Linked DNA regions of Ovis aries. The protein of the gene in region 2 interacts with the protein of the main gene of each other region in a biochemical or structural test. Links are inferred from orthologs where the notes say so. Each region holds a gene or a part of one and is shown on either strand. Other genes may lie near its edges.

Region 1 (3,500 bases), on a different chromosome or scaffold from region 2:
GGAGCTCTGAGGGTAGTGGGTACCTGACCACCCTCCCCAGGCTGCACCTGCCGCCTGCCTCAGGTCTTCTGTCTCTGCAGCCCCACTGCAGGCCCCAACATGGCACCATTCCTGCGCATCTCCTTCAACTCCTACGAGCTGGGCTCCCTGAAGGATGTGGACGAGGCAAGCCAGCCCTTCTGTGCTGTGAAGATGAAGGAGGCTCTCAGCACAGGTAGGGCTAGAGGCTGGACCCCACCCATCTGCAGCCACTGGCAACAGGGAGTTGCCAGTGGGGCAGGGAATTCAGAGCCAGGAGGCGGCGGCAATGGAAGGAACTGTGTGTTGTTCTCCTAGAACCTTTGAGGGATCCTTCTCTTCCTTGTCTCATCTCCCTGCCCAGCTCACCTGGCAGTGCAGGACCGTAGAGACTACCCACTTGCCTATAGGACCTCCTGCACTGGCTATACGGAACCTTCTCTGGGGCCCAGGGCTTCTGGTTCCTCCCCATTTGTTGTTTTGCCCAAGAATGGGCTCCTTGCAGGAGCTCCATGTGTCCATCTGTGCCAGGCCTTGTGCTGGGAACAGAGGACAATGCCATGCTTCAAGGCTGACCAGGTTCTGCCCTCATGGGGCTCACAGTCAGGTGGGGGAGCCAGACAGTGAATCCTGTGATAGGGAAATCCAGACGAGGTCCCATCCCAGGCTGCAGTCAGGGAGGGCTTCCTGGAAGAAGCAAACATCTCACATCATTCCTGCTTGCTTCTGTCCTTTCCTGGTGAACCCTTGTCATCCTTTAGGTCTCAGCTGAGCTGTCCCTTCCTTTAGGAAGCCTTCCCTGACTCTTAGGCTGAGGCAGGCCACCTGACCATGGGTAGGTCTAGACCCACTGACATTGCCCTCTTCAGTCTCATCACAGCTACGATTTAATATTCACTTGAGGGGTGAATGGATTCATGTCTCTGCCTAGGACTGGGGCTCTAGGACGGGCACCATGTTCTTTGCCTCCAGTATCCTGTCTGGCATGTGGGAGCCCGCAGCAGTGTTCACTGAGTAAATGCGTAAGGGAAGGTGACATCTAAGAGGGGCTGGAGGAAGAGGGTCACAGGAGAAGGAAGTAGCAAGAACAGGCTCAGGGAGGAACCTGCTGGGGGTGCCCTCATGGAACAGCCGGTGTTTTTCTGTTCTGGAACAGATCGTGAGTGAGAGGGTGAGGCGTGCAGAGCACAGTTGTGAGGGCTGAGGGATGGGGACCTGGGCCCTCGGGGAAAGAGCAGGCAGATTCCACAGGATGGAAGGCCATGGGGAGGTCAGGGAGGGAGGGACAGAGGGGCCTAGCCCTACCTCGCCTGCCTGGCCCGTTGCAGAGCGCGGGAAGACACTGGTGCAGAAGAAGCCCACCATGTACCCTGAGTGGAAGTCCACGTTCGATGCTCACATCTATGAGGGCCGCGTTATCCAGATAGTGCTGATGCGAGCCGCTGAGGAGCCAATGTCCGAGGTGACGGTGGGTGTGTCAGTGCTAGCCGAACGCTGCAAGAAGAACAATGGCAAGGCCGAGTTCTGGGTGAGGGGCGCAGCCACGGGCACACAACGTGGGAGGGCAAAGGGAGCGGGGATGGCCAAGGGCACCCCAGGCTCTGGCCACCAACAACCTGGGTTTGAATCCTGGTCCTGCGAGTCATCAAATCCTTAGCTTCTCTGAGTCCGTTTCTGAATCTGTAAAAGAAGAACCTGCTAAAGAGACCTACCTTGGGGTCGATTGTTCTAAGGAATGGAAAGCTGAAGGTGAAGGGCTTACTGCAGCACCTGGCCCTTAGGCAGCTCTCAAGAGAGCCCTCCTATTGTTGTGGCTGATTTTTTTTCCCTTTTAATTTTGCAAAGGCAGGATGTACAGAGTTAAACATCTCAAGCTGTACAAAAGGGCAGCTCTGGCCCCAACACCAGGCCCCAGTCCCCACTTCCCAGAGACCCCCAGTGTTCCCAGTTCTGTTTGGAGTCTTCGCAGATATTCCAGGCCCGGGCAGGCACTGGGGAACACCAGTTACGATCTTCCACAGCAAAGGGGTGGGGAGCAGGATCATAGCCTGCCACTCACCTGCCCAAACCTGGACTTTGCACCCACATGTGGCCATGTGTCCCTTGTGACCACAGGATACCCATGCTGGCAGAGCATCCCTACCCCCTGGGGTTACATGTGGGCTCCTGTAGCCAAGATGCACCCCCCCCCCCCCCAGGAAAGACCCTGTGACCATGGAGACTCTGCTCAGCCTCCTGTGAGGGGTGAAGGAACTGGCCAGGACAGAGGTTGACCTGGGGCTGCACCCAGTCTTGAATAATCAGGCAGAGACACCTCATGTGTCTGTCCAGTACCCCAATGGACACAGTCGGGCTCCAGGCCCTGGGTCTGGGGAAGCTGAGGGTCCTGTCCTAAGGACCAGCCAGTCTGTGTGAGGAGACTGGCCACAGAGAGAGAGAGACCAGCAGCCCATTTCAATGTGCGTGTGCCTATGTATGTCTGGGGGGTGGGGAGGGGTACCTACATTCTAAGATCCTTCTGAAGGGGGTGGCCAGGGTTGAAGGTGGGGAGTTTCCCTTCCCACTCTGTTCCCAGGGCCATGTGGCCAAGCTGGGTGTGGGCTGGATCCTTTCACTTCCCCAAATGTAATAATACCCCAGGATGAGGGGTGGGGGCGGGGCTCAGGGGTGGGGCCCTGCCCACTCTGGGCAGACAGGTGGCCAACCGGAGGCCAGGACTCCCTGGGCCTTGAGGGACCAACCATGGGGGCGGGTTCTGAGTCTGACTTGGCCCAGGCCCGCCCTCATTGACTCCCTCACCCTCACCCCTGCAGCTGGACTTGCAACCCCAGGCCAAGGTGTTGATGTCAGTGCAGTATTTCCTGGAAGACATAGGTAAGCCCCTCCCTACCTGGGCTAGAGGTGGAGGTTCAGAGGCCAGATGGAGGTTTAGGGAAGCAGCCTCCATCAGTGGTCTGTCTGGGACTGCTCTGGGAGGGACTGAAAGGGTACGGCCCCTCCCAAGGGCCAGGGTTGACTTCTCTGCTCACTGGCCCCCAGATTGCAAACAGTCTATGCGGAGTGAAGACGAGGCCAAGTTCCCAACAATGAACCGCCGTGGAGCTATCAAACAAGCCAAAATTCACTACATCAGACACCACGAGTTCATCGCCACCTTCTTTGGGCAGCCCACATTCTGCTCCGTGTGCAGAGAGTTTGTTTGGTGAGACTGGTTGTGCCCACCAGGGTGGGGCAGCAGGAGAGAGAGCCCCCATCCCTGGCCTTCCCCACACTCACCTAGACTGGTCACTTGCCTTTCAGGGGTCTCAACAAGCAAGGCTACAAGTGCAGGCGTAAGTGTCTCCGTGGCCCAGTGTGTATGCGCATGTGTGTACACGTGTGTGCCTGTGTGCATTCACAGCAAAGTCTGTGTCCCTGTGTTGGGATGGTGTGTTTGCAAGAAGCCTGTGTGTGTGTTTGCGTGTGTGGTGTTCCAGGCGGGT
Region 2 (3,500 bases):
GCAGAAGAAGAGAAATAGTTCTATTTGCAGACTCATATCTGTGCATTTTTCTACTCACTAAAATTTAACCCCCGAATCAATATTCGTGGCACTTTGGCACTCATTTGTGGACATACCCAGGCACAGAGCCGTGAAAACTTTGAGTCGCCAAACATGTGTTTCCGGTTGAAGTCAAACAAAGCTATGCTCTGCCTTCCTGTTTCGGCTCTCACACTACACCCGAGTGTCTTCTCTGAGATCTGTTTAATGCTGTGGTCTCTGCATTTCTGGAGGTTTTTTTGCTGGCGATTTCATTTTTAAATATGCCCCTCAGAGGCGAGTTGAAGTGCTGTCTAGTGTTCCTAAATGCCTTAAGGAGCCAACGTACATGATATATAAGCTCTGTTCAGACTGAGTTATAAAGCTGCTTGCCATGAGTTCGATGTTAATGAATGAACAAGTATGTTAGATAAGGGATCTTTGAACAAAACAAGGTGATGTATTGATCTGCAGATGCAAGGGTTTTGCCAGAGGCTGACGGGAACCCATACTTCCCTTAGGCACAGTGATTCAGTATCCGCTAAATCAGTGTTCACAGTGACTTCAAAGAACCTAAGTACAGTGAATAACTGGAATCAACTGAAACTAACTGACCATGAGTATCCGCATTCTTAAGAACAGACCCTCCTTGTTTAGCAAGTGTATACATTTTTTAAAAAGCATAACACAAAATCATCTGTTGCCCAAGCTTATTCACATGGAAGGAAAATCATAATTTTTAATTTCTAGTACATACACACGCTTCTGGAATGCTTCGCTATTCCAGAATTACTCAGCTCCTTAGCAATGAGTTGAGTTGTGCCACTTTTCCCCCAACATCTGGCCCATATAGGCTCTTTCAAATATGCAGAACTAGAGCGGGGGGGGGGGGGGGTCTTTAAACCCTGGTATGAAAGTAGATGTGTTTTCCTTACCCGGGGTTCTGCCACCAGCATGTTGTACCACAGGATAGAGGCCCAGCCACTTGGGAGCTGGCTGACATTGGAGATCACCACGACAGGTAGAGAGGTCGTCTACAAGATGACAAAGACCTTAAAATCCTCGGAAACCCAGAAACAGTACCTGCAGACCACTATGCAGCCTCACAGACTAACAAGGAACCCTATGTACATTCGCGTATATTTTATTCTTAAAAATTAAGAATGTAAAGGTACAGTCTTTGGTTTTTAGTTGGATTTATCTTTGACATATATTTTCAATTAAGAAATTAATGTCAAAGCTTCTTATAAAAAAATTAACACAGGACATCTCAACGGGAACATTTGGCTTATTGGAGCGTCCCTTGTGGCTCAGCTGGTAAAGACTCCACCTGCAATGTGGGAGACCTGGGTTCGATCCCTAGGTTGGGAAGATCCTCTGGAGAAGCGAAAGGCTATCTACTCCGGTTTCCTGGCCTGGAGAATTCCACGGACTGTATAGTCCATGGGGTCGCAAAGATTCGGACACAACTGAGCAACTTTCACTTCAGACAAAGGTTAACTGAGTTCTCTGGCAGACGGAACCATGAAATTAGCATTGAGAGAGTAATGGCTGAAAACAGCAGTCTTTTTTTAGCAATTAGATAAGTATGTCTAAAATTAAAATACATGCATCAGTTTAAAGTGAAAATAAAGTTTCCCATCCTGGAACATGTAAGTCCTACCTCCAGGTCAATGACCAAACCAGGCTGGCACAACTGGGTTTCAAAACTAAGAGAGTGAAGCTCTTCAGTGACGATGAGAGGACCCTTAAAAAAGAAAACGGGAAAAAAACGAATACAGTGATTCGTTCATTGATCCTGCAATCAGCAAGAAACTACTAAGCATTTTAACAAGCTCCAGAAAGCATGAGCCCAATCAGGCACAATTTAGAAGATTCTAGCTTTTAATACAGAGAAGGCAATGGCACCCCACTCCAGTACTCTTGCCTGGAAAATCCTATGGACGGAGGAGCCTGGTAGGCTGCAGTCCATGGGGTCACGGAGAGTCGGACACGACTGAGCGACTTCACTTTCACTTTTCACTTTCATGCTTTGGAGAAGGAAATGGCAACCCACTCCAGTGTTCTTGCCTGGAGAATCCCAGGGACAGGGGAGCCTGGTGGGCTGCCGTCTATGGGGTCGCACAGAGTTGGACACGACTGAAGTGACTTAGCAGCAGCAGCTTTTAATAATCTATCCCAGATTTAATTATCCCAAGTATCTCAGTGTTCCCTCAAAGACCAGATTTCTAATATTCTGGCAAGGGTTATGGATTAAGGGGAAAAAAATGTCTTTAGGGAAATAGCAACTTCTAATGAGTTTATTCACAACCTAAGGCTTCCTGGCCCTCGGTCCCCTCTGCCCACCATGGACCCGCCTGGCCTGGGCTGCACACCTCAGGCTGACAAGGGGTGGAAAGTGTACACATGTTCCAAGTGTGATTATCTGCCAGGAGAGCAGATTTGCATAAGCCTGGCAGGTTATAAAGTGCCTTGGTTGGTTTGGGTGGAAAGGTTATTGTGTTCCCAGTGCCTTCACACACATTATCTAATGTGAGCCTCACAACAACCTTAGAACCAGAGAGGTGTGACTCCATTCCTGCTCCTGGGAGAGGAAATTTAGTCCCTAGTTGGTTACTAAGAGTCAAGATCCAAAAATGAGGGCTGGTCAGGCCCAGGCGGGCACCTGTCCCACAGCTCCACGCGCCCTCTGCTGGTTGTGGTAGGGAAGGACAGAGTGCTAGGCAGGCACAAAGAACAAAATCCAACCAAACCAAAGCAACTCTAGCCAGTCTGTCCTCTGCCCATGGTTCATATCTGAATGCATCCCAAACAGCTCTTCAAGGACAAGCTGTGACGAGGGGGCTGACAGAAGGATAACGGCACTGGACAGGGCACACACAGTTTTTGGCAGGGCAGTCATGAAGCTGGCCTCTGATTCCAGCTTTGACAATTACTTCCTGTGCACGCTTAGCTAACTCTTGCAAACTTCCTGCGGTCCAATTTCCTCACCTGTGAAATGTGAGTAACACAGTAGCCCACTGTACCTATTCTGCTGGGCTGCTGGTGAGGGTCTAGAAAATTCACGGGCAAAATCCCTGGACAGCCAGAAAGCACAAGCACAGAGTGGTTCTACTGTTGCCACACGTGCACCACGCCCCAGAGTTTGCCTGCCGCTCTCGCCTGCTGGTCTTCCCACTGCTCAGCCCTCTGTGAGCTGTCCCTGGCCACCCGGGACCGCCGGGGCCATGGAGCCAAGCTCACTGGACAGAGCTGCTAGTTAAGAGACCAGTCACGACAGAAAAAGACTTACCTCATTAGTTCTGGCACCGGCATTTTTTTGTTCTTTCAGTTGCTACAAAAAAAAAAAATCTTAGTAAATAGCTATATAATAATCCTCAAAGTTGCTACTTTCATCTACAAATCAAAACAAGTGGGGACTTAGAATGAAGGAGGTGAAAATATTTTGAGGATGCAGAACAGGAGGTGAAGTGACCCTGTGG

Evidence for each region. The genes of interacting proteins can lie anywhere in the genome.
Region 1: of the proteins of STAT1 (region 2) and PRKCD, one has a biochemical effect on the other in vitro, tested with the Homo sapiens proteins (2 studies listed by BioGRID). The link is inferred for Ovis aries from reciprocal best matches to the Homo sapiens genes STAT1 and PRKCD.

What each region holds. Positions count from the first base shown.
Region 1 is NC_056072.1:47,855,499-47,858,998, reverse strand, and holds part of PRKCD (protein kinase C delta type), read left to right. Parts: intron 1-80; 5' UTR 81-99; coding exon 100-214; intron 215-1,346; coding exon 1,347-1,546; intron 1,547-2,831; coding exon 2,832-2,892; intron 2,893-3,057; coding exon 3,058-3,220; intron 3,221-3,318; coding exon 3,319-3,350; intron 3,351-3,500.
Region 2 is NC_056055.1:193,229,021-193,232,520, forward strand, and holds part of STAT1 (signal transducer and activator of transcription 1-alpha/beta), read right to left. Parts: intron 3,353-3,500; coding exon 3,311-3,352; intron 1,766-3,310; coding exon 1,682-1,765; intron 1,053-1,681; coding exon 954-1,052; intron 1-953. UniProt on the Homo sapiens protein: Signal transducer and transcription activator that mediates cellular responses to interferons (IFNs), cytokine KITLG/SCF and other cytokines and other growth factors.